4 linked regions of the Cricetulus griseus genome follow. The protein of the gene in region 2 interacts with the protein of the main gene of each other region in a pairwise test. Links are inferred from orthologs where the notes say so. Each region holds a gene or a part of one and is shown on either strand. Other genes may lie near its edges.

Region 1 (7,348 bases), on a different chromosome or scaffold from region 2:
GTCTTATTGGTTGATAAATAAAGCCCTGTTGGCCAATAGGGGAGCAAGTGAGGCGGGACTAAGAGAGAAGGAGGATTCTGGGAAATGTAGGAAAGCGGCGTCACCATGTGACCGCCAGGAAGACAGGACACATTCTGCCGGCATCCTCAATAAGATAAGTTTATAAAATATATAGATTAACAGTTATGGGTGATACTTAAGACAGAGCTGGCAAATAAAAAATCTTAGTCATTGGCCAGCAGCACTGTACCTAATATAAGTCTCTGTGTGTTACTTGGGGCCCTAACACGGTGAGCGGAACTTGGGCGGCTGGTGGGAAGATTTATCGGTTTACACACACACACACACACACACACACACACAGAGAGAGAGAGGAGAGAGAGAGAGAGAGAGAGAGAGAGAGAGAGAAGGAGGAGGAGGAGGAGGAAGAAAAAAAAGAAAAAGAAAAAGGCATGACCCACTTCAGGTGGGAGTTGGTGTCTTAAGAGCTTTGCAAACCTACAGCACTTGATTTGGAGCTAGAGTAAGATCACACCTCATCTGAACTCTGACTCTATCATTTACCAACAGTCATTAAAGTTACCTGACCTGAGTTAGTTTCCTCATTTGTAAAATGGGTATAACTCATATGGTTAACTGCAAGAGTCAAGCAGACAACAATGTAAATAATCCTTGTGAAGCTGTGCACCACCATCCCCTTTTGACGACTTGGTAAATTTAAGGAACACAGGAAACCTGAGTTCAGATCTTCAGGGCTGTTTTCTTCCCTATAGATTCCTGACTCAGCTTTTCCTTCTGACTTCTCTAGTCCCTGGCTCTTTAGCAGGTTTATTTCTGTGGCTGAAGAGGCTACAAGACTTAACCCAAATATCTGGCAACTTACCCCCCTGCCCAGGCAATCCTCCATAGAAGCAGACACAGTACAGGCAAGGCTTGGCTTCTGGGGAGCCACAGATGAGCGGCTGATGTTAAAAGTGAAGCTACATGGAGGGAGTGGGCAGTGCAGGCGGGTGGCAGTGGGAGGGCAAGCGGTAATGAGAATCAATGCTAGGACTCTGCTATGGACATCTGGTGTTCTTGTTCACTTAGCACCCACTCTGCTGGCTTTCCTTCAGGGAACTGCCATTTTGTCTCTTTCGACCCATACAGGCTAGGATGAACACCAGGCCCATGAGTCTTGGTAAATGGCTCCACAAAACACAGATCTTGGGACTTTTGTTGAACTGCTGAGGTAGAAGTTCTCTTTGTCCATGGTAGTAGTTAAACTATAAGGACAGAGTCTAAACTGTTGCCTAATTGTAGTTCCTGCTCATGGGAATGTGACCAAGGCAGAAGCCACTTAGGGTGGCAGAGATAGCCCTAACACTCCAAGGCAAGAGTATGGGGAGGGAGTGTGCTGTTTAGAAGTGTCAGCTACGGGAACTAGCAGGCCCTGCTTTTTCCTGGGCCACTTCACTTTTAAATCTAATTCTGACCCAGGTCAATACTATCACTGATGAGTACTTACTATGGACTAGAAATATGTTAACGATGAGCATAAAATTATTAAGCAAGGGTGAGGCAGATGAGAGGTATGGGCTCTGGGGTTTATGATTCCATGGCCCATGTTTGGACTCACTAGGTTACACTGCTGGCACTGGGCAGAAGACATTTCCTAATTCACAGCAAAAGGAACAACAATAAAGAGATGCAGACAAAACTATACCCATTACCTTCTGAGCTGTTCAAATCAAGTACAAGAGGCAGGACAGTACCATCTGAGATGGGAGGTCAAATAAAGACAACCATTCTACCAAATGAAATCAGGCAAGAGTTACCCAGATTTCAAGGGCACAATCCCTTCTTTCCAAGCTATCTGCGTAAGGCTTCCTCCCTGAAATATTCACAATTCTACGCCATGTCACCTAGCCACAGCAGCCCGCTCACAAGAACAGACTAGACACACAAACGTCCAATGGACTTAAATAATAAAGCATACATTAACAAAGACATGCCTTCAGAATTACCCTAAGGGGAGAAGGCAAGGTTCTAAGCAATCTGAAGTTGCATAGTGGACTACTATAGCATTTAAGTGAGAAGGAAACAGACACAGACACAGACACACACCACTTCTCTTCATTTGTAATACCATGCTTTTTAAACACTTGGCGTATTTTTATTACAACTGTTTACTATTTATTCATGTGTGTGCGAGGTATGTATGCCATTGAGACATGGTGGAAGATAGAGGACAACTTGCAGGAGTTGGTTCTCTCCTACGACCAGATGGTTCCTATGACTGAACTCAAGCTGTTAGGCTTGGTGGCAGGTGCCTTTACCCATTGAGCCATTTCACCAGCCTTGTTTTTATTGACAAGGTCTCATGTAGCCCAGGCTGGATTCAAAGTCTTTATATAGCCAAGGATGACCACCAACACCCGATAAAATTGCCTCACAAATGCTGGGATTACATGTGTACACCGTCACACCCTGCTTCCATGTTTGTAAATCTGCCACTTGTTGCCCCTGAAAATCAATATTCACAGGGCTTAAGTGGTCATCTGTAGATAAAGGCTGAGCAATGGAAACCTAAATCAGCTGATGAATACTTCCAAGCTGAGGCTGGGACAAGGCAAGGCTGATTCTACCCTTCATTTCAGCTCTCATTCTGTAAAAAATGTATCCTTCTTCTCATTTAAAATGGCTCCCAAGTATAGTGTTATAGTGCTTGTCTAGAAGGCTCTAGAAATGTTCTCTGTGGAGAAATATACATGCTAGATAAATCAGTCAGGCATAAGTCAGTGTTGTTGGCCACTGAGTTCAATGCTAATGAATCAACGGTAAAGGTTACATGTTGACCAACTGATAAAAATGTGTCTAGATGTCATAGATCTAACTTTTCCCCTCTCCTGGAAGTGCTAGCTCAGTACTTATTCAGGAAATGTGGTGGTTATAAAACACAAATGCCAAGAACAATAGAACTGGCTCAAATGTCTGCATGAACATCTAGTGGACCATTCCTATAATCTCTAATGACCAAGAAACTTAAGTATGCTAGTAACTGGGAGAACTATGGCCACTTTGAAAGCAGTTAGAGGAAGAATTTTCATTATATAGTCCCAGGAGTATTTCTATTTGGAACCATGTCAATGTACTACCAAAAGATAAATATGAAATCAAAACAAAGCCAGAAACTTCTGACCAACTTCCACACACACCACAGACTGTCCTATGTCTTCTGAGGCACTGCTGTGGGGGAGAAAAAGGGGCCACACAGAGCCTGTCAATTAATGTCTATACACAGTGGCAATGCAATCGGAGGGAGGAAGGAAGGATATAGGGGTGGAACAGGCCAGAATTGGGCTAGGCAATCAGTGATGGGTGTGCTCACATGAAGGCTCACCTGGGTGCTCTCATCATGAAAACCTTCAAGGAAGCTCTCCAGCAGCTCATCTGCATTGTCAATCCGCTCAGCATACTCGCCCACTATCCAGATCATAGCAGCCCGGGCCTCAGGCTCATCCAGGGAGTCTAGGTTCTCACACAGTGTGGCTATCACGCTCTCATACCTAGGAAAGCAGGATTGAGCCAGCAGGTAAGCACCAAGGAATTTTGGCCAATGTGTGTGGTGGAGGGTTAAGGGCCAAGTCAGATAGGCAGCTGCCCAGACCCGGAGAGATGGTGAAGACAGGGGGTGTTTAGCTGGAGTTTAGCTGATCTTATTTTGGCCTGGAGGGCCAGCTTGGGTAAAAGAACAAAAAAGACAAAAAGTTTCTTCTGAGAAAGCTATGAAATGGGAAGAAAGGGAAAGGAGGAAGAGGAAGCCGAGCTGCTCTCTTCCCATGCGGGGTGGGCACCTACTTGTTGGGGTACTTGCGGAAGATGTCCTTAATGACCACAATGGCTTCCTGGACTACATAGTTGACCTTGGTCTGGATGAGATCAAGCAATGTGCTCACACAGCGCTCTGCAGATTGCTGTGTGGGAAGAAGAGGCAGTGTAGGCAAGGTCTCTGCACACAGTTTCCAATTGGGCTAATGATCCTGCTGCAGTCAAGCAGCTTCAGACCCATTGCCCACCTTCTTTATTATAGCATGAAAACAGATCTCTTTCCCTTGACAATGGGGAGGCAGAGGACAAGGGCCAAATGAGGGCCCTGGATGAAAAGGACACACAGATAGAATGAGAACACAAGACAGCCAGAGGTGTAGCTCTTGAAAGTGTGAGGTCATTGGGAGTTCCTCCAGGCAAAGGGCTGAGTGACCCTATTTGGCCCCATCTCTCTGGCTTGTTTCATAAAATTGGCTGCAATGGCTAGACCTACAAAGTTTCTGTACCTAGTCTTTTGCTTTTATTTCTACATACTATATAATAGCCCGAAGGGGCAGATGTCTCAGGAGAGCAATAATAAAAATCAAGGGGAAAACAGCTTAAGATGCTGTTTTCAGGGTCCTGAGTGGGTATGACCAGCTATCCCAGGGTCCTTAAGCCACCAGCAGACCCACTGTGTACAGGTCAATGTCAAGGAATAGCTCCCCAGGCAGAGTGGAGAGAATGAAATGTCAGGGCACTGGGTTTAGAGTGATTTAGTAGGTCAGAAGAAGCAGCCCAGTAGCTCAATCAAGGTATCTTCTGAAGTATCTATCAGGCAGAGGTCCTGCCGCAGATCTCTGTGGTAAGTCTAACAGGAACTCCATGAGCTGGTGGCTGTCCTGTGGCCTTAGATAATGCTGTAGGAGAACCATCATTAAGAACCATCATTACAGGGGCATCATTTCACCTGTTACAACTCAAGAGCCTGAAGTGAAAAAGAGCCAATGTAATTCTGTGTAGTGGGTACCTTGGAGGCCCTGTTGGTGACCCTTGGACTTCCTGAACCATAAACAGCTTCTAGGATCAGACTGGCTTTCTGTTTTCAACAACCTTCTCCCTCCCTGGCTAGGAATGGAATCCCAGAACCTATTCACCTCCACCTTGATGGCACAGCGACCGATGGCACGCACTGCCTTCCGTACAAAATCCACATCTACTTCTGTAGCATACTCTTTGAGTTCCGCCAATACCTGTGATCCAAACAGAAAATGGATTGGAGATATCCGATGGAACAATCTGTTAGAATACTTGGGTAACAGAAATGCATGAACTCCCAAAGGGACGGGACTCTGTTGTCTGCTCACAATGGACGGCTCAGGGGAGCGTGTCATCAGGCTCCTCAAAAGGAAGAGAATTCAAAAGGAAGGTAGAGGATGACTATGTAGCAAGGTTCAACAAACCTTGCTTTACACTGACAGCTACTATATCCAAGAACCTCATTTTGTGTGTGTGGTGTTGGGGATGCTAAGTAGATATTCTACCCCCAAACTACATTTTTCAGCCTCAGCTACTGCTTTTTTTGTGGGGGGCGGAGGCGGTGGGGAGGCAGACATAAGGAGGTACGCTTATACACATGTCTCCACATGTGGAAGCCAGGACATCCTTGGGTGTCATTTCCCAGGATCAATCTACTTTTGTTGTTATTTTTGTTTTGAGATAGGGTCTCTAACTGGCCTGGGGTTTGCCAGTGAGGCTAGGCTGGCTGGCTGGCTAGTCAGCCCCAGGGATCTGCTTGTCTCCACTTCTCCAGTGCACTACACCAGACTGTGTGTGTAGGGGATGGGGAGAGAGACCGAGGCAGAGAGGGGGGGGCAGACACACACACACACACACACACACACACACACACACACACACACAGAGAGAGAGAGAGAGAGAGAGAGAGAGAGAGAGAGAGACAGAGACAGAGACAGAGACAGAGAGAGAGAACCAGTGATATGGGGGGTGGGGTATGTGTGTAGGGAGGGGGTAGGTGCCACAGAGGATAGAAGAAGGTATCAGATACCTTGAAACTGGTGTTACAGGTGGTTGTGAGACCCTCTGTGGGTGCTGAGAACTAAACCCATGTCTTTTGAAAAAGTAGTAAGTGCTCTTAACTATGGAGCCAGCCATCTCTTCAGTTCCCACACACAGATTTTTAAACATAGGTTCTGGATATTAATTTCAGGTCTTCATGACTGCCCCTAGTAAGTGCTTTACCAATTGTACCATATCCCTAGGTGACCAACTACCATTTTTTAGTGAATAAATGATAGATAATAATAGAGAGAATAAGGAGAATTTTTTGAGTATGTATAGGGAGTCTATTTATGTTGTCCAAGGTAGTTTTGATCTTATGACAAGTGATTCTCCTGCTTCAGCCACCCAAGTATCTGGGACTTCAGGAGTGTACCTTTGTGGACAGCTTGAGAATATTCTTTATTAATACAGACATTAGTTGTTTTTGCTTGCTTACAGAGCTCTATCATCCACAACTCTCCATGAGATAGAATGTCACAGTGAGCATGCTGACCTAGACACACCTAGGAAGTTGTCTGACACCAAAGCTTGTGCCCCACACCACCATACTCTGCTTGCCTGGGCGATGTTGGCCTGGGAGGCCAGGCGGATCATAATGTCCAGTTTCTCCAGCTTCACGTAGATGGGGTCATTGTACTTCACAAAGAAAACTTTCATTTCATGCTTCAAGATTTCTGGCCTGGTGGTGGGGCAAGATGCCCAGAGAATAAAAAAGAAGCCATAAGACCCATGAGTCGTCATTCCACATCTGCTGGGGAATTCCTGGGCTATAGGTGAAGCTTGATGTCCAGGGAGGCAGAACAATAATCATGACTGTGTGGCCATAGGTAGTGGTTCTTCCTGGCTACAGCTTGCTGGGTCACATCTCAGGAAGGAAAAGTAATTTACATGGATAGTAGGCAGCAGGCCAGGGTTCTAATCCCAATGTGTGACCTCAACCCTTGTTTCCTTACTCATGAAATGAGAATGAATTGCGCAGGAATAATTACTAACCCAGGCCTGAATCTGGTGTGTATGAACTCAAACTCTCGGAACATTCATCCTGTTCATTCAAAGATAAAGACGGCTGGCTATGCCTAGACCATTTATAAACAATACAGTTTATGCTTAAACCCTGCTTTCCTTCTGCAGTCCTGAAATAGTGTGCCCCTATTGCCCTATTGCCCCTAGGTGCCCTGTCTCAATTTGGCTCCTTGGGAGGAAACATTCCACACTTGTTGCTGTTCTCTGCTGACCTTCCAATAGAGGAAAGCTCAAGAGAAAGCCTTTCATGGATTCTTCTATACTCTCCCTTATGTAGGTCACTCTACTAAATCTCAGATAAGGAACACAAATGACTACTGGGAAATGCTAGCCAATCTCTGAACACAAACAGACTCCTGCACAATAGGTCAACTGTGGGAGATGGAAGCATCTAGCATGATCAATGCCTGCTATATGAAGGCACTTGCCAATAGGAACTGTCACCTGCTGAGCT
Region 2 (4,217 bases):
GCATGGGTACCACCTGCCTCAGAACCTGTCACTTCAGAAAACATTCTGTCTCTGTTGCTTTCAGCTGGGACAGTGTAGCAAAAGTGGTTCCTTTCTTTCCTAAGCGCTTAGGCCTTGTAGGGGACATAGCACCCACTGGGTAAACTTCTGAGTCTGATGTTGGGCCGAGGGACTGCCCTTTGCCTGCTCTGATTCCTGTTTTACAGATAGAGACTACAGTGCCCAGAGAGGCAGACTTAGACTACACAGGTCCTTGTGAGTAACAGGGGGCAGCCTGGGGTTTTGCCTTCAGTGCCCAGAAGGACAGCATCAAGAAGAAGGAGGGGAAACCAGCACCCCAGACCTAGGGTCACCAGGGCCACACTGCCAAGCAGGGAAGCTGAGGGGCAGCTGTGGGAGAATAGAGAGCAGCCAAGCATTCTTGGAGGACCTCCTGCTTGCCAAAGGTGGCCACAGTAACCAGCAAGTCAGCCTGGCACAGTGTCATAAGGTTGTCTTGATTTTGGAATGAGGCAGGGAGCTCTACAGCCTCTCTGAGGAACTTTCTAGAGGCAGGTCTGCTTACATACCATCATGGGACCTCCTTCCTGGAACTGCAGTGCCCTGGGGCCTCCTCCCATTGGTGCCCTAAAGTGCCACCACTAGTCTGTGGGCTGCCTTATACCACGCATGACAACTTGGATACCTGTCACCTCCTCAGAACCATCTCAGGTGCCCAGCTCTGCCTGGAAGTCTTTTGTAATTTTCTCTGACTGCCAAAGAGAAGGCAAGCAACCTAACTGTTAGGCCTGTGGAGCCTAAATTCCATGCTCTTTGTGCCTTGTGCAGGGCCAGGCCTGAATCACACCTACAATAACCCAGATAAGATTCTTTGGACCAGCCGGGAAGGCAAAGCTCAGAGATGCCATGGGAGGTATCTATGGCCACACACCTCAGCTGTAAAGATGGGCTGAACCTACACGTGAGTCTAGTTCTACAGCTTGAGTCCAGGATGGATCACCTGCTAAGCACCACTGAGGTGTTTGCTAAAGGAACAGGCAAGCCATGACAGACAGCCCATGTACCTCTAGGCCAGGGCAAAAGGCAGAGCATGTGCCATAAGGCCTAGAGAACACTGTGCCTACTCAGGTTCCCAGAAGGCTGTGGAGGAAGCCCAGATTGGGGACTCACCAGCTGTTGACCTTGGGTGGCATCCAAGGCAGGCACACATTCTAGGGACTGAGGAAGAGGCTGGAGCTAGGGCACACCTCCTCTTCACTTCTGGACACCTCTAGCTCTTCCATGTGGGCTGGACACCAGTGTTCTTTGTTTACTGTGGCTGGACCTGTTCTGGTAGCTTCCAAATATAAAAGGCTGGCCACCTGCCTTCTACCTTGATGGATTGAGGGATAGTGATAGCCCATTTCTGAAGGCTGATCATATATTCCAGTAAGAGGTTTTTGCATTGGGCTTACTGTGGTTCCCTGGCAGAGCGCTCATTGAACAGACTTGAGACACTTGGGGTTATTGCCTCTGCATCACAAAACCACAAATTAGCCATATCCAGATACCATGTAAAAGAGCCATGTACATGCCAGACGGTGGTGGTGTACACCTTTAATTCCAGCACGCCTGAGGCAGAGGCAGGCCTATCTGAGGTCAAGGCCAGTCTGGTCTACAGAGTGTGCTCAGCGACGCCTGAGCTACACAGAGAAACCTTGTCTTATAAAACCAAGGGGTGCTTCTGGGAAATACAGACAGGCAGATCCATGTAGTTTAAAGGCCAGGCAGCCTCGCTGAATCAGTCCAGCGACTGAGTGTGATAACAAGAGCCCATGTAAGGGTAGCAGGGTCTCCTTCCTCCACACACATGTGCAAACCCACACAAACACACACAGATGAAGTTTTCTTTCTCAGACACCCCTGGGGAAGATGCCTGGACCCTGATTCCTTCCAGGGCCTTCATGTCTCAGTCAGGAAAGCTTTCTGTCCCCCAGCTGGGGCTGCTAGTCCGTTATGAACACACGGTCCCAACAGTCATTCATGTATCTGTGCTTTTCCATGTGCTGAGAGCCATGACAGATTCTGCCCACCCGTGGGGCCCAGGGCTTAGCACCCTGCCTGGCTTCTCTGAAAACATAAGCTGAAAGCAAGGATGCTTGAGGTGGGACTTCCAGATGGCTACTTCCCAGTCATCAGTGTGACTCTAGGCAAGCAAGTCTGTTTCCCCTCAGCAAGACGGCATTCCTATCACTCGCCTCTCTGAACCCAATGTCACAGGAAGCGCAGCTGCTCTCGGGAGAAAGCGGAGCAAGGGGCCGACCTGAGGACACAGTCCCCGCCACGCCTCCGGCCAAGGGTCGCGCGATCCCGGGGCGCGGGTCCTCAGCTTCCGGACCCGGCGGGAGAGGGGCAAAGCCGACGGTCACCTAGCAACCACAGCCCACCCAGTAAGCTAAGGAGGGGGCGGGACTCTCAAAGACCACCGGCCGTTTCCTAGCAACAGGACAGGGTCCGCAAGTGAGGCTGCCCCGCCTGCCCAACGCCCTGGCAGGGTTGGACGGCCAGTTACCTAGCAACAGGGTGGGTCCCGGCAGGGCGAGGCCCCGCTGTTGCCTGGCAACGCGGAGGGTGGAGAGCCCTTCAATACCTTGCCTTTCAGGTCCAGTACGTAGACGGCGCTGGCGGACATGGCGTCTTTGGAAGGCCTCGGCAATAGCCGAGGGCGGCGGCAACGGCAGGAACTGCCGGCGTTCAGCAAGGCCCGGCGCGCCCCGCGACACTTCCCTTCCACTTCCGGTCCATGGAGCAGCGCGCGGACCGTTATGTCCGGTCTGAGGGGCAAGCCGCGAGTGCGCACATGCGCAGCAACATAGGTGCAGGCGCAGTACGAACTTTGTGGCAGTATTTTTCATCCACTGCTGAAGAGGGCCGGAAGTAAGTCCCGGAGGGCGGACCCTCCCTAGTGGGCGTGGCCTGAGGGGCCTGGGCGGGGCCATCGGGCTGTGGCTGGCTGACTGGAGGTGGAAGCCGGGTGAACGCTTTCAAACCCGCTGCTGTGGGTTTGAAAGCGGAACCGATTTGGGTCAGCCTTGCATTCGACAGCAGTCTAGTAAACCAATATCCCGTCACCAGCTGTGATTCGCTGTCAGGTGGCGATTAAAGGAAGTCAGTCTCTGAATGGCAATCAAAACTTATCAGTAATCGCCTCTGTCAACTTATCAGTGGCTGCCCCACCCCAGTTTGCCCAGTGAACCCAGGGGACTAGACTAGCACGTGTGTTATTTAGACATCGTGCCTAGTGCAAAGTGTGGCTGATTTTCTTTTAATTCTGTCATTCTTTTTTAAGATTTTTAAAAATTTATTATGTATACAGTGTTCTGCCTGCTGGCCAGAAGAGGGTACCAGATCTTATTACAGATGGTTGTGAGCCACCATGTAGTTGCTGGGGGTTGAACTCAGGACTGCTCTGAACCTCCGAGCCATCTCTCCAGCCCTAATTCTGTCATTCTTAACCGTCCTGGGAGACCAGCCAACACCTCAGCACCCGCCCCTTTGTTTTTCTTTCTTTCTTGTAGTTGCTTTGTGTGTGTTCCAGTACACACAGGGAGGTCAGTTTTCTCCTTTTCACTATGTGGGTCCCAGAGATCAGGTTATCAGTTTCCGCAGCAGGCGTCTTTACTTGCAGCCCCCCCCCCATTCCTTTTTCAGTTTTTTGGGCAGGAGAAGTATTCACTCCTAATGGCCGAGACCTCTCTCTGTTCCCAGCAGGCACATATGATGCTTCACAACTGCCTATAACTCCAGTTCCAGGTGATCTGATGCCTCTGTGGACAGCTGCACTCATGCACACACACCTGAATATGGACTTTTTACAAAGTACTAAGTTTTAGTGAGGCATAGTAGTGTGTGCCTTCAATCCCAGCACTTGGAAGCAGAGGCAGGCAGATCTGTGTGTTCCAGGTCAGCCAGTAAGATGCAGTTTAAAAAATTTTAATTTATCCTTTGTCAGTTTCATAATGTATACATTTTATATTTTGAACATATTGGCCCATTTCCCTCTTATTACTCCCTCCCTTCTTATTTAACATTTATTGTGTGTGTTATGTGTGAGCATGTGGAGTTCAGAAGACAATTTGTGGAAATCAGTTCTCTCCTTCCACCGTGAATCCTGGGACTCAAACTCAGGTCTGCAGGCTTGGTGGCAAGAGCCTTCACCTGCTGGGGCATCTTGTCCA
Region 3 (7,146 bases), on a different chromosome or scaffold from region 2:
TTGTCCCTCCTGGGTCCCAGTGCCAGCCTCTGCCTGGGGGTGGGGGTATTATGCTAACCCTCAGACCCGGGGGCAAGAGCTGGGTTTTGATGCATGGCATCCGTGGCCTGACCTTCTACTATCTTACCAACCATAGTGGGCACTGTGACAGTCATCAGCCCCTTGGAGCTTGTGCGGACCAAGCTACAGGCTCAGCACGTGTCATACCGGCAGCTAGCTACCTGTGTTCAAGCTGCGGTGGCTCAGGGGGGCTGGCGCTCACTGTGGCTTGGCTGGGGTCCCACAGCCCTTCGAGATGTGCCCTTCTCAGGTAGGCACTTTTGTTCAGGGCATAGGGTAAAAGAGGCTTTGGATAATGTTGAAGGGGTCTCTACACACAAGTCTCTCCTTTGTTACTAATGACCATGAACTCATCACTTCTGAGCCTTGGGTTCCTTATTTGTGATACGGACTTGGCAGGGAGGGGTTTGGCTAGGTACAAAGCAGGCACCACCTGGGGTGGTTTGGCTGTGGGTGGGAGATGAGAAGTCTGGAGCCCACTCCCTGGCTCCCACCTTTAATGAATGTCTCTACTTCCCAAGCTCTGTACTGGTTCAACTATGAGCTGGTGAAGAGCTGGCTGAATGGGCCAAAAGACCAGACATCTGTGGGCGTCAGCTTTGTAGCTGGTGGCATCTCAGGAATGGTGAGTTGACTGGGTTGGGGGTGAGGCCACCAGAGGAGGCCCTCACATATAGCAGTCCCTGCTAGGGAGCCTGCTTGCTTTCCTCAGCCACCCTTGAGATGCTTTAGTCCCTCCCACGAGCTATGGGAGAGCTGGGACAGGGGCCCTGGGAATGGAGCCGAGCCTTCTTCCCACCCCACCCCACCAGGTGGCTGCCACCCTTACTCTGCCCTTTGATGTGGTGAAGACACAGCGACAGATCACACTGGGAGCACTGGAGGCTGTGAGAGGTGAGCTGGGCTAGTCAAGGTGGGGGGCAGGCAGGGGCCCAAACTGAGTCCTAATGAACTGGGTCTTGAATCTGTAGTGAAGCCCCCAAGAATTGATTCCACTTGGCTCCTGCTTCGGAGAATCAAGGCGGAATCGGGCACCAGAGGACTGTTTGCTGGTGGGTAACTGTCTGTGTGCACATGTACTGTGTGTGTACTTCCATGTTATATCTGTGAAGGGACCCAGCCTCTAACCAAGGTATGTCCTCCCACCACAGGGTTCCTCCCAAGAATCATCAAGGCTGCTCCCTCGTGTGCCATCATGATCAGCACTTACGAGTTTGGCAAAAGTTTCTTCCAGAGGCTCAACCAGGAACAGCCTCTGGGCTCCTGAAAGGCGAGGAGCAACCAGCTCTTGAACGGGTGGGGACAGGAGACTGAGCCAAGTGCCTTCCTCCCCAACCCAGTCACCCAGGCTACCCTCACATTTTGATTCCTGCTGTTCTCCCTACCACGGTCACCACTCGTCCACCTCCAAGTTCAAGACCAAATCTGACAGCTGCCCCTTTCTTTGTAACCCTTTATGTTTGTTGAAGCCTGGCCCCGAGGAATCAAGATCTCGGGCCAGGCAGCTCTGTTTATTTCCCTGTCTAAAGATGACCTTCTGTGCACTGCTGTGACTGCGGTGTCTTGGGGTATGTGTGTGCATTTGGGGGTCCCCAGTCAGTCACCCACACTTGTTATTCCAGCACTTGGGAGGCTGAGGCAAAGGGATTGCCTCAAGCACCAGGTCAACCAGGACTGCATAACAAGATTCTGTCAAAAAAAAAAAGGCTGCCACTCCTGGCATGGTGGCACACACCTTCAATCCAGCACTAGAGATTGGATGGCAAGTGGATCTGAGTCTGAAGCCTGCCTGGTCTGCACAGTGAGCCCCAGGCCAGCTAAATACCCTGTCTTAAAAGTTTCCCACGTTACGTGGTACCCAGTCAGACAGGACAAAGGTGAAAGATGGTGAAGAGGTCCTTCCATGCTGGGCCACTGTGTTGGCGTGAGAGCAAGCGCACGCCAAGGTGGTATTGCTGGAGCAGAATCCCCTGCTTGCCAGCTCTGGCACAATGGATGGGACTGCAGCTCTGATTCACAATGGAGTTGCATATGCCTATGGCAGGCAAATGTCCCACTAAGGCACACCGTCAGAGGGCTCTGCTAGTGCTTGAGAAAATACTAGAGGGGTCAGAGCCAGAAAGAAGCCCCTCCCCCCTTGCCCTGAATTATGGCCCACTTGCTCCCATAGGACACATGCTAGTCCTGCCCCATTACCTTCATTTAGAGAGCCTGCTATGGAGCCCTACCCCACTCCCCAACAGATGAAGCCACCTCAGTCCTCTGGTTTTTATTTGCCTAATCTCCCCACATAGGTACCAAGGAAGGATGACTTCAGAGGGTACACAGGGATAGACCAGAGGCAGGGCAGCAGGAATGCCAGGGCTGGACCACCTGCTTCTGAGGCAGGTGTGGAACATGAGCAAAAGGAACCAGGCAGACTTCAGGGCCACCAGAATGGAGCAGCCTTCCCAGGGGACTGGCTACTTGTGACCTGGGTGCCCCTTCCTCCTGGTGCCACCACTTGCCAATGCAGCTCCTGCCTCCTTGGTGGGAAGCTGAAGCAGGAAAGAGGCTTGGGTTGTCTTTCCCTAGAGACCCTCGGCTAGATGGTCAGCATCCTTGAAGGGTTGCCTGGGTTGGGGGACTCAGGTGACCGTTGTCCGTGGCCCCTGGCAGGTGGGGCAGGCATTGCCCGTGCTGCTCCTCAGCTGGGGCTAAGTGCCGGGCTGCCCTCGGGGCTGTCGCTCACCAAGCATTCGTTGGATTTGAAGCTGGCCAGGGACTTGCAGCTGGGGATGGAAGCCAGGGAGCCGCAGAGGCCCAGCATGGAGGGCGTGGGGTCCTTCCCTGGGGAGAGAGGGCGGGTGAGGCTGGGCCAACCAGGCTGATGTGGGGCAGAGGATTTCAGGGATGGGCAGTAAAAGGACAATTCTCAGGTCACTCCCAGGAGACTCTTGGCCTCTTCTGAAGCATCTGCCATTAAACCCTGATGGCGTGTGCCTTACTTTGGGCTTGGGACACTGTATTGTAATCATCCGGTCATGTCTCTGGTCTCCCCCTGAGGTTCAGCCTCTTTGTCCATTTATTAAGCACACAGTAAGCATTTGCTCTGTTTCACATTGGGAATACAGAGAATGGACAAGACATGATTCCTGCCCTCTTGGAGCTCACAGTCTGATTGGGGAGACACACACAGTCACAAACACAGTGTGGTGGATTACATGTCCAAAGCCTGCAGTGTCTCAAAATCCAGTTATCTGGTACAGTGGAGTTAATATATCTATTAAAAAAAAAAAAAAAAAAGTCCAGGCATGGGGAAAACTAGGAAGGGAGAAACCAAGTTGGAGCCAGGGGTGAGGTAACACAACGCATGCGCGGAAGTCCTGGGCATTCACTCGGAGGGAGCCACTAATTTGGTTCTGAGCTTCCTGGCACCAAAGAAAAGGGGGAAACATTGGTCAGCCGAGCAGTTCACAGAGTGCATACCGTGAGAGCAAACTAGGCTGAGGACTCTCTGGAGTATGAGCCCTGTGAGGATATCACATGATACTAAAAGGTCACTGAGCCCTCTCCATAAATGGACATGAGATTCTTTTCACCAATGTCCCTATTTTACAGCAAGGTGAAGAGACTGACCAAGCTTGCAGGTGAGGGGGTGCAGCCTAGATTTGCACTTGGTTCTCTGAAACCCCAAAGCAAGCTCCTCATTGGTGCTGTAATGTAAGTACAGGAAGGGCTAAGAGACCCTTCAGTTCAGCCATTCTCTCACTATAGACCCCCAGCAATTTTCTAAAGTATATGAAATGCCAAGGTATATGTATGGGGGTGTGCTCACCAATGGGGCCCCAGGGTTCCTCATCCCGCTTGCCCTCTCCCAGACGCTGGGAGTCTGAGCTCAGGCTGGCTTCTGCAGACAGCGGCTCGGTGCTCATGAAGCTGTGTCTATGACAGGACAGAAATGCGTGCAGGCCGTGGTACATAGCTCCAGGCCTTGCTTCCTGGGAGGGAGTTTGAGGGCAGCAATTGGGTTGGGGCTTACCTCCGATATAGCTTCGAGTTGCTGGCACCCTCAGGCCTATTGAGTGTGCTCAGGGAAGGCCATTGGTTGACCAGGGGTGTAGTGAACTCCTTGGAACCCTGGGCCAGGGGGGCATGGTCACCGGGGATCAGACCTGTCCTGGGAGGGGGAGGGGGATCAGGCCTGGCTGGGAGAGGGAAGCAAGACTCAGCAAAGGTGGGGGCCAGGGCTTAGAAAGGAAGCCTGAGTGGTAAAAATTGGGATATACACTGCTCAGGGATGATGGCCCAGATCTGGAGTTTGCAGCACAAGGGTTGGAGGCAGAAGGAGCACAAGTCTGAGGCCTGCTAATTAGTGACACCATGTTTCTAAAGGGGCCAGGGAGGCAGCGTTAGATCCTGGAGGGAGTGTAGGGGTAGCCTGGGGACAGAGGGGTAGCCAGGATTAGTGCATTCATGTTGGGAGTTGGAGGGCTGGAGTGCTTAAGACTTAGTTGGGGTGATGTAGAGAGGAAAGTGGAGAGGGTGGGTGGGAATTGTGCTAGCTAGTTAACTAGCTGGAACAAGTTTAGGGGAGAAATGTTCCAGGTTGTGGGATCGCTGGGTGATGCAGATCAGAGGCCTGAACAAAAGAGCTTCAGCCGCTGAGGTCCTGTGAGTAATGTGGTACTTCAGCAGTGACTGGAGTCCCTGGCTGATGGGTGACGGAGGCTCCAGGATGTTAATGTCGGGGGTAGTGGTTGGCAACCACAGGCCTCGGGAGAGTGGGATATGGGTGGGCTGATGCAAATGGGATGCTGGTGTAAGGAAAGTGATGCCATCCAATGGAGTGATTTCGGGGTTCCCAGGGGTCGGGTCGGGTCAGGGCAGGAGGCGTGCTCACAGCTGCTCCTGAAGCTCCAGGATCACGCCTTCCAGCTCTCGCTTCTCCCGCTGATTCTGTGCTGCAGCCTCCTCCAGCTGCAGCTGCAGCCGCCGGTTCTCCGCCTCCAGGTCCTTCAGCTGCGACTCGCGCAGACGCACCAGCTCCTCCAGGTAACCCTACCAAGCAGCGCCAGCTCAGCTAGAGCTTCCAAAGGGGTCCCAGCTGGTGTCCCAGCCTGGACCCTGCCCACGCCACGCCCATCTCCCCGCGCCTCGCCTCGCCTCGCCTCGCTCACCTTCTGCGCATAGACAATGCGAAACTTCTGTTCCATCTTGTGCCACTTGCTGTACCAACTGTCCTCGTCAGTGACGAGAGGCAGGTAGGGGTGCTCAGGCGAGTTGTCCTCGCTGGTGCTGCTCTCCGCACTGTGTCGCTCCTCCTCATCCGTCAGGTAGTCGTAGCTTAGGAGCGGGAGCAGTGGGTGGGGCCGGCTCCGCCCCGCCTCGCCCCACTAGCACCCCAACTCCGACCCTTGGGCAGTGACACCAGGATGACACTCAGTGCCCTCCCGGTGCCCATCTCCTCACCCACCGCAATAACCGGGCTGCTCACCTCTGGGTGAATTTTAGGTAGGGTGTGTAATCGATGACCACCGGCGTCTTCCCGTCCAGAACTTCGCCCTTTAGACAGAAGCTGAGGCAGAAGAGTCACGGGGTGGGAGGAGGGCATGAGGGGCGTTGGACAGTTGTGGAGGAGAAAGTCCCATTCACCACCACCATGCAGACCCCACCTGAAGTCAATGGCGCTGAGCCCGATCAGCATCCCTGTGAGGACAGTGGCTTCCTCCCGCAGCATGATGGCTCCGGAGTCATAGAACCGTCTGCAGAGAGAGAACCGAGACTCCCAGGGGGCCCACTCCCAGGACTTGTCTGCTTGGCTTACTTACTACAAGCTTTCCTAGAGGAAAGAGATGCCTCCTTCCAGCTTGCCAGCCCTGGTCTCCCGCTTGGATTGTCACTCACTCACGGGAACTAGCGCCCGACCCCACCCCCACACCTATCACAATGCATGTTCCTTATAAGTGACACTCTTCTGTTCTCTAAGCTTAGCAGCCGCTATCAAGCTCTGGGTCACCTCAATCCTTTCAATCAGGGAGCAAGTCTTAGTGGTTAGTGCTTCTTCTCATACATACAGTAGGTCCTCAAAGGACAATATGTGAAGACTAGGGAGAGAATGTAGTAAAGTTATCAGATTTGGGGGACCCCCTCACCCTCAATAGCTTCCCACTCCAACAATGACACATTCTGCCTTGTGATCCTTGACCCTCAGGATGCACCTTCTTGGCAAACCCTCAGGCCAAGCACTGAAGCTCCACACACTGGAACTCTGTTCTTGGAAGAATAGTGACTGCCTTTGTTTGCAGAGCTGGCAGAGCTGTGTGTTGTAGGTCATGGCACAAGGCCAAGGAAAATGGTATGTGACTGAGGCTTCTGCAGTCCCATTACCATGCCATCTGGGAGAAGCAGACTACCGGTGCATGCTGGAACTTGTAGTCCAGGTATGAAAGGTGTCATCTGGGAGAAGCAGACTACCGGTGCATGCTGGAACTTGTAGTCCAGGTATGAAAGGTTGCTGTGGGGACTTAAGGCATAGGCAATGCAGGTGCATACTGTGGTCTGAGAGGTCTGACCTGGTAGTTCGGTTGTCCCGAAGAGCTGTGGTGATGTATTCTGACATGCGCTTCTCCATCAGAGCCACCCGAATCCATGCCCTGCCCTAGAAAGTATGGTCACCTTTAGTTGTCCAACATCAGGTATGGTCTCCCTTCCCAGTGCTGTGGGCAAGGGGTAAGGACAGGGCCCCTATGTCCAAAGCAGGGGTGAGGCGTGTTGCCACCTGCTGTGGCCCCTCCCTCACCTTGGCTCGGGCTGTGCTGATGTTCTCCATGTTCTCAATGCTGCTCACACAGTTGTTGGGCACTTTGCTGCAGGCCAGTCGGATATAGTCCCAGAAGCCCCGTTGCCCATCTGAGCTGAACCAGCTCGCTGGACCTGCTGGGGCACAAGCTGAGCCAGGGCAGGGAGGGGACTCAGCGAGACCAGGGAGTTTGGAAAGGGTCCCTGTCATACAACACTCACATCTATAAGCATGAGTCACCACACACACATTCTGCCTCCCCCAGCGTAGGCATCAGGCTTGCCAGCACGCCCAGTGATGGAGCT
Region 4 (8,033 bases), on a different chromosome or scaffold from region 2:
ACCCCAGGTTGAGAACCACTTATCTAGACCTAAGTGTGTTGGTCTTAGCAAAAACCCCTAGCTCCTAAATTTGAGTTAACTGGAAGGGTAATTGTGTTCGTTGAACAGTGGTTATATTCTTCAGAAAATGAAGGTCTTGTAATTCTGGGAAGATTTAGAATTAAGTCCATCTTAAGAGCTGTGCTGTAAAAGGCCGTGTCTCCTCCGAAATTCAAACTGAAAGTTAATTCTCAGGGGAAGAGTATTTAGAGGAGCTTTTACGTGGTTATCAGGCCAGGGAGGGTGCCCTCATGGATGGGATTAGCATCCTAATAAAGGGATTTGGAGAAATGGGTCTGACCCCTCTTCAGCCTTCCTATCCATTTTACTAATGAGGTCACAGTTTTCCCCTTGGTGAATGTAGCAACAAGGTACCATACTGGAGCAGAAAGAAGCCTTCACCTGTCAGGGTACCGCCAACACCCTAATCTTGGACTTCTAGCATCTACAACTGTGAAAAATAAATATCTGTTCTTATTTTGTTTGTTTTGTTCGTTCAACTGTCCTGGAACTCACTCTGTAGACCAGGCTGACCTCAAATTCAGAGATCCACCTGCCTCTGCTCAGATTAAAGAAGTGTAAGACCACCACCCAGCAATATTTCTTCTTTTTGTGTTATCTAATCTCAGATAATTGGTTTCAGTAGCACATATGGGCTACAGGACCTAAGACAGGAGATCTTTAGAACTAAATACAAGAATATTTGCTGGACATGGGGGTGCACACCTTTGATCCCCGCACTGGGGAGGCAGAGACAGGCAGATCTCTGTGAGTTCACAATCAGCCTGGTCTACAAATTGAGTTCCAGGGCAGCCAGGGCTACACAGAGAAATCCTGCTTTGAAAAAAAACAAACCCAAAAGACAAAAACACATTTAAGAGGGGCTGGAGATGGTTAAGAGCACTGGCTAAGGACCTGGTTTGCTCCCCAGCACCAACAAGGAGGCTTATAACCATCCAAGGGGATCCAACACTATCATATGCACTTGGTATACAGACACACTTACAGGCAAAACACCATTTAAAACTTAAGAAAAAAAAGAGACAAACTATAGCTGAAAGCCTCAGTTAGAAGATGACATTTCATTTGAGTAATGTCCAAAGTAGGAAAGAGTCATTTATTTGTATCTGAAACAAGAGTACTCCAGACAAAGGGAACAGCAGGATGCAAAGGCCCTGAGTGGAACAAGCATGGAGAAGGCGTGGGGAGAGCTATGTCTATAATGCCAGCTGAGCTGGGTGGCTGAGGCAGGGAGGAGCAAGTCCAAGGCAGCCCTAGGCCACTCAGAAAACCCTCATCTCAAAATAAATTTACTTTAAAAAAAAATGTGGCTGGGCAGTGGTGGCGCATGCCTTTAATCCCAGCACTCAGGAGGCAGAGGCAGGCCGATCTCTGTGAGTTTGAGACCAACCTGGTCTACAAGAGCTAGTTCCAGGACAGCCTCCAAAGCCAAGAGACAAAAAAAAAAACCAAAAAAAAAATGTGGCTGGCACTCGGGAGGCAGAGGCAGGTGGATCTCTGTGAGTTGGAGTGAAAGACCCCGCCCCCTGGCTGGTTCTCTCTCGGTGACACTCCCGTACGCGCGCACACTCCCACACGCCTGGCGGCTGGCTCCCTCCCAAGCCGGTTCACCCAGGCGGGGGGCCCTCGACCCAGGCCCGCCCGCCTGGCGCCGCGCCCCGGGGCTGGGGCCGAGCGGGGAGAGGACGCCCCCCCCATGGGGAACCTCCGTCCCAAGGTCAGCCATCTGGACGCGGAGGGGGGAATTGGGTCTGTTGTACCAGGTGCAGACCTTGAGAATATACTGATAACTCTGTACCTCATTAAATTGTCCAATAGAATCCCTGTAACTATGCTTTTCGCTTCTGCACTGTGCTTTTTAGCTATATAAGGACCCCTCTCCCTTGGCTCGGGGCTTAGCCTACCCAAAAGCTAAGCCCCGGGGTACCAGCGCTACTAATAAAGCCTCTTGCTCTTACATCCAGAGTTCGTGGTTTCGCTGATTCCTGGGTGCGGGTCTCCTTCTACGAAAGTACCTCTTCTGAGGTCTTTCAGGAAGCCAGTCTGATCTATAGAGCAAGTGCCAGAAGAGGCTCCAAAGCTACAGAGAAACCCTATCTCACAAAACAAAAACAAACAAAAAAACCAAAAAAAAAAAAATGTGGCTGGATGGTGGTGGCGCACCCCTTTAATTCCAGCACTCCAGAGGCAGAGGCAGGTGGATCTATGAGTTCGAGGCCAGCCTGGTCTACAGAGTCAGGAGTTCCAGGGCAGCCGGGGCTACACAGAGAAACTCTGTTTGAGAAATAAATAAATAAATAAATAAATAAATAAATAAATAAATAAATAAGGAAGGGGTCTGGGAATGTATCCCAACAGTAAAATATTTGTCTAGCGTGTGCAAGTCCCTGGGTTCAATCCCGAAACACACACACACAAACACAGTGAGCCCAGTTCCTATAAGGCCTTGAAGACTATAGGTCTTCTGAGCCTTTGGGTTTTTTTGGTAAGATGTGGGGGTGGTTGCCATTTAAGGCTTGGGGAGGGTTGGGCATATGGTTCATTAGTCGAGTGCCTATGTAAACATGTATGAAGTCTTGGGTTCAATTCCAGCACAGATTCATGCCTGCAACCCCAGCACTTGACAGGTGGCTGTAGGAGAAACAGGAGTCCAAGGTCATCACAAACTATATAGATTTGGGGCCAGCCTAGGCTACATAGGACCTTGTCTTCAAAAGAAGATACTTTTTAAAAATCAGGGAAAATTTAAAAAAAACAACAACAACCTTATATCAACCCCTTTGATATTAAAGAATATAATTATGCCATTAAAAGATTTAAGACAGACTGAAATTCGACTAGTTCATCCCAACCCTCCCGAGGTAGAGATAGAATCAAAATTTCAAGCTAGCCTGAGTCCAGCTTAAAACAAAATTAAATAGGTAAATGGAAGTAAGCCTTAAGTGATAAAGATCAGTGAAGGTTTTTGGTTCTTGGAGACTGACTGCTCCAGGAGGCTGCTGGAATAGGAGGGCTGGAGAAGTTGTCAACACTCCCTGTCTAGGGGTGAGATTCCGTGGTTAGAGTCTTTCCTTTGCAAGGGAGAATAAACGGCCTGAACAGGTAGTTGTCTTATAAGAAATCAAGTGAACTATTTCATGAAAGCGAAACCACTCCATTTACTAAAGTCCTGCAAACATAAAGACTTCTAAGGTGTTAGCGGTGTGTGCGGTTGGGTGCCCGCTAGGTGTGAATCCCATTCCAAACACGTCTCGGAAAGACGTGGAATACTGCTAACCGCACGGTCAAGGGCGACTAAGCGCGCCAGAGCGCGAAGGGACCAAACCAGATAGTGTCGCCAGGTGGGAGATGCCAGGGACATTCTCCCGGGAGCCAGCTGGGGCTCCATATTCCTGTCCTCGGTTCTAAGCTCGGAACCGTCGTGTCGTGTCGTGTCGTGATCGAAAGCGAGAGGGCGGTGGGTGGAGTGAGAACGCCGGGCGGCAGCGCCCCGCGCCCCGCGCCCCGCGCGCCCGCGCCCCGCGCCCTTCCCCCGCCACGGCGCCCGACGGCTGCAGACACGCCCCGACTCCGTGGCGCCGCCTCCCTACCGCCGCCGCCAGGAGGCTCCGGCGCCTTCCCGCCTTTCCGGGGCCGGCCGCGGGCGGGGCGCGGGCGCGAGCGGCGACGACGCAGCCATTGTCCCGCAGCCGCGCCCGGGCCGCCGCGCCGCCGCCCGTGCCTCCTTTGTGGCCGTCGCCGGCCCCGGAGCTCTCCCCGAAAACGCCTACACACCGGGGCGCACCCGGCGGCCTCGCCGCCCTCCGCCAGGCTCTCGGCCGGGCCCGCAGCCCCGACGCCCCGGCCGCCCTCTGCCCGCCCGCGCCCTCGCAGCCACTTACCGCGGGGCTCTGGCCGCTCGTGCTCGCTGCGGAGTAATTCCCGGTTCCCGGTGGGGGAAGCACCCCCTTCCGAAGCCGAGGCTGTGCGCCCTAAAACAAGTAGCCCCAACGTGGGAGAAACAAAAGGTATTTGCTGACGTGGGCGTTGGACAGAAACGCCCGAGGGCTGAGGACACAATTAAAGGGGCAACGCACAGATTTCAGGCACCAACCAGCAGCTTCGCCCACTCCCCCTGTCCGTGCCCACACCCGGCTGCACCCTCCGCAGGCGCTGGGGCGCCCAGATTCCCCAGCAGTTGACTGCGGATCATTCTTTTAGTCGCGAGCTTAAATTTTAAAATTGTACTTTACGTTGGGAAAGGCGCCTCCGGAGGGCAGAAAAAGGGCTAGGATTTCTAAGATGTGGGGATATTGGTTTAAGGACAGAGGGAGGGACTTAGGCGTGCCCACAATTACTGTATAAGTACATATGACATTATTGTTCTTAAGTTTAGCAACGTCAAATGGAAGAGATTTCCACAAATTTCCTCTCTTTATCGAAGCACTTATTCTAGTCAGGGATAACCCTTTAGAAACCTTTGTAGGTCCCCTTCAGACCATTTGAAAAGGCAAGCCCAGAGAGGCTGAGATATTGAGAACATGATTTTATTTTGTGTTTTTGTTTTTCAAGACAGGGTTTCTCTGTGGCTTTGGGGGCTGTCGTGGAACTAGCTCTTGTAGACCAGGCTGGTCTCGAACTCACAGAGATCTGCCTGCCTCTGCCTCCCGAGTGCTGGGATTAAAGGCTTGTGCCACCACCGCCAAGCTAAACTAAATTAATTTTATATTTCCTCATATTAGTTGTTAATTGCTGTGAAATAGTGTATTATGATGAAATGGGGGGAGACTCAAATCTTCAAAGCATACATTTAATGTTTTTTTGAGGGGTTCCTCTCCCAAGTCTTAGTTGGGCCTATTAGGGTCTTGTTTCTTCGGTTTCCTCACCGATTAGCTAGAACAAAACATTTGGTCTTTCCTGAATATTATACCTGTTTACTCCAGAGTTGCTTTGTGATTTAGATGTGTTTCTTTACCTTTTGAGGTAATGGAAGGAAAAGTAGCCAGAAGCTAGTTTGAAAATCCTTACCACACCTTTAATCAAAGCACTCCAGGAGGCAGAGGCAGGCAGATCTCTGAGTTAGAAGCCCTCCCAGGACAGCCAGAGCCGCATAGTGAGACCCTGTCTTGAAAAAGAAAACCGTTATGGTTCAGCATTGCTGAATATGCTCAAGCTGTTCTAACATTCCCATTGAAGATTTATCCCAGAAAGAGCTGGACATTATAGTAGCTTATTGCAGCACTGGAAAGGCAGAGGCAAGCAGGTCTCTCTGTATTCAAGGCCATCCTGGTTTACAAAGAGAGTTCCAGGGCAGCCACAAGGAGACCCTGTCTCAAAACAAAAACATTCTGCTGCCAATTAAGCCAACCAGGAAGGTTCCTTTGCACCCTAGGGGGCCTGGCTTGCAATGCTTGCAAATAGCAGCCTTTTGTCCATTCCTGCGTCCAAGAGGAAGTTGGAAACAATTCTCCAGCGGCTATTCATGTCTCTGATCTGGAAGCTAGCCCTAGTCTACACTCCAGACAGGTATGTAGGGGAGCCCCAGGGCACACTGGCCACGGTTAATTTAGGCCAGGTCATCCTGTCAATCCAAACCACATCTCAGAGCAGAGGGGCCCCACCAAATGGAAAGCAGGTGAATTTGAAGGGGGAAAATGGTGTGTGTGTGTGTGTGTGTGTGTGTGTGTGTGTGTGTGTGTGGTGTGTTTCCTCCACTCTAAATGCCATTGCCACCCTGAACTCCTGGGCTCGCTCTATCATCATTGTCTTGTTCAACCACCCAAGCAGCTGGGAAGCGAGGTGTGTGCCGCTGCGCTGCGTCTGGCCAAAGGTTTTATTTTTAGTGTTAGTGAATTCAAACAGCCAACATAGCCAGGTGTGCTGTAAGGCCAGCGACTGGCAGATGTAAAACTGGAGGGCCCGGCAGGCATTCCAAGCTAGCCTAGGCTATACACCTGGACCTTTCTCCAAAAACAAGTGAGCACATAAAATAGAACAAGTCTGTAAGCATGCTTCTAGACAGACCACATAAGGTTGCTTGCTGATGCACTGTATTCCGAGGAGAAAGAGTTTTCCTTTCATCTTCATCCTCCTGACTTCAGTTGTTAGACCCTAGGAAAGCTGAGGCTTCCAGAATCTTAGCCCAGGACCTCGGCCACCCCAAACACAGAATGGAGGCGAAAGCTCGATGCAAATTGCATGAGGCTTTATTGTAGTTTAACGAGCTAACCCCATGTTAGCTCGGGTCTTTGATAGCACCCACCATGGCAGATGGCTAGCAAAGACGGCTCCTAGGGGCTCCCGAAAGATCTTATAGGGCAGCATAAGGGGAGTGTCTAGGGGTATGCACAGGCTCAGGATTGGTGTGCCTCCAGGCTTGGAGGGCTTGCCCTGTGTTTATTGGTCAACTGGTTGCTATGCTTTGTGCGCCATTGCCGTGCACTTGTCCGTAAAGCACACCCAGAGCCGTAAAGCATAGCGCCATCAGCTAACTTCTGATTGGTTCCTTGCCACGAGGCAGGCATCTGACTTCTAGTGACTAGGACAAGGTCTTGGCAAGCATGTGTTACTGTCATGGCTGCTGAAAGGAGCAGCTGGTCCCTTCAATGAATGTTTTGTCCGTATGTGTATATTGAGGTTACTTACAGGAATATGGGTGAGGGATTACTTACAGGAGCCCCTTACTGTTTATGTGCCTGCTGCTGGTGGTAGAAGCCAGCAGAGGGCACCGGGCCTCTGGAACTGGGGTTAGGATGGTTATGCGACACCACGTGAGTTCTGGGACTCAAACCCAGGTCCTCTGTGAGAGAGCCTCCGGTGATCTTTCCACTGAGCCATCTCTCTAGCATCTCCTTCCAATTTCACAGGAATTTATTCAGCACATACTATGAGCAAGGTGTTTGCTGCTGACTCTTAAAATACAATAGTGAATAAAAACTCTTGGCCCAGCCGGGCAGTGGTGGTGCACACCTTTGATCCCAGCACTCGGGAGGCAGAGGCAGGAGGATCTCTGTGAGTTTGAGACCAGTCTGGTTTACAGAGTGAGCTCCAAGATAGACTCCAAAGAAACCCTGTCTAGAAAAAAACAAACACAAAACAAAACAAACTCTTGGCCCAGCATAGAGTTCCAGGACAGCCAGGGCTACACAGAGAAACCCTGTCTCAAAAAAGAAAGAGAGAGGAGAGAGAGAGAGAAGAGAGGAAAGAGAAGAAAGGAAGAAAGAGTGAGTCAAACCTGATGGTTGTTGTGTAACAGCCTGTGATGAAAACTTTCCTTTTTTTTGTTTTTTTGTTTTGTTTTGTTTTTCGAGACAGGGTTTCTTTATGTAGCTTTGGAGCCTATCCTGGCACTCGCTCTGGAGACCAGGCTGGCCTCGAACTCACAGTGATCTGCCTGCCTCTGCCTTGAGAGTGCTGGAATTAAAAGCATGCACCAACAAGGCTCAGCAAAACTTTCCATCTTGTAGGGGCTCTTTAAGCAAAGAGCCAAACAGCAAGAAACACCTTCAAGAACTCCCTGGAACTGGGCAGATTCCCTAGGCCCCTTCCTGCTAGAGACTGCAGAGCCCAGCTGTAAGGAAGACTCTGGGCCACCTGAGTTGCCTGGAAGAGGTTTAGACCAACCAAGGCACCTGGAAAGGACACTCTCCAACCTGCTGAGCTGCCTGCAGGCTTTGCAGTGTGCTTCAGGTTCCCAGCTTTGGAGCTGTCAGCCATGCTGGGGTGGACCTTGGGGATGCAGCTGTCTTTGAGTCATTTCTGCTTCTGTAAGTAACCCTTCACCCATACTCCTGTAAGTAACCCCCAAAAAACTCATTGATTTTCCAAGCTGGACTTTGGTGGTGTCTGTAGTTTAATCTGTCATAGGAACCCTGTCTGGGGTGAGAAGATGAGTGTGTTTCTTCTCCTGGTAAAAGTTTTGTCACACAACAGTGGCTCATACCTTTAATCCCAGCATCTGAGAGGCAGAGGCAGGTGGATCACTCTGAATTCAG

Evidence for each region.
Region 1: the proteins of Ap1m1 (region 2) and Ap1b1 interact in a two-hybrid assay, tested with the Homo sapiens proteins (2 studies listed by BioGRID, with this or other methods). The link is inferred for Cricetulus griseus from reciprocal best matches to the Homo sapiens genes AP1M1 and AP1B1.
Region 3: the proteins of Ap1m1 (region 2) and Rundc3a interact in binary tests that used the Homo sapiens proteins (3 or more experiments, as listed by UniProt). The two-hybrid records come from large-scale screens. The link is inferred for Cricetulus griseus from reciprocal best matches to the Homo sapiens genes AP1M1 and RUNDC3A.
Region 4: the proteins of Ap1m1 (region 2) and Zbtb8a interact in binary tests that used the Homo sapiens proteins (3 or more experiments, as listed by UniProt). The two-hybrid records come from large-scale screens. The link is inferred for Cricetulus griseus from reciprocal best matches to the Homo sapiens genes AP1M1 and ZBTB8A.

The regions. Positions count from the first base shown.
Region 1 is NW_023276807.1:99,872,751-99,880,098, forward strand, and holds part of Ap1b1 (AP-1 complex subunit beta-1), read right to left. Parts: intron 6,551-7,348; coding exon 6,430-6,550; intron 5,043-6,429; coding exon 4,947-5,042; intron 3,957-4,946; coding exon 3,841-3,956; intron 3,549-3,840; coding exon 3,383-3,548; intron 1-3,382. UniProt on the Homo sapiens protein: Subunit of clathrin-associated adaptor protein complex 1 that plays a role in protein sorting in the late-Golgi/trans-Golgi network (TGN) and/or endosomes.
Region 2 is NW_023276806.1:246,994,342-246,998,558, reverse strand, and holds the start of Ap1m1 (AP-1 complex subunit mu-1), read right to left. Parts: upstream 2,801-4,217; 5' UTR 2,672-2,800; coding exon 2,630-2,671; intron 1-2,629. UniProt on the Homo sapiens protein: Subunit of clathrin-associated adaptor protein complex 1 that plays a role in protein sorting in the trans-Golgi network (TGN) and endosomes.
Region 3 is NC_048600.1:115,697,276-115,704,421, forward strand, and holds the end of Rundc3a (RUN domain-containing protein 3A), read right to left. Parts: intron 6,991-7,146; coding exon 6,842-6,990; intron 6,701-6,841; coding exon 6,615-6,700; intron 5,805-6,614; coding exon 5,715-5,804; intron 5,618-5,714; coding exon 5,537-5,617; intron 5,386-5,536; coding exon 5,220-5,385; intron 5,101-5,219; coding exon 4,943-5,100; intron 4,220-4,942; coding exon 4,082-4,219; intron 3,985-4,081; coding exon 3,878-3,984; intron 2,890-3,877; coding exon 2,747-2,889; 3' UTR 2,315-2,746; downstream 1-2,314. Other genes in the region: Slc25a39 (solute carrier family 25 member 39), read left to right, coding at 137-310, 582-685, 873-954, 1,032-1,112, 1,212-1,327. UniProt on the Homo sapiens protein: May act as an effector of RAP2A in neuronal cells.
Region 4 is NC_048595.1:23,660,692-23,668,724, reverse strand, and holds the start of Zbtb8a (zinc finger and BTB domain-containing protein 8A), read right to left. Parts: upstream 4,315-8,033; 5' UTR 3,942-4,314; exon of another isoform or gene 3,853-3,941; intron 1-3,852. UniProt on the Homo sapiens protein: May be involved in transcriptional regulation.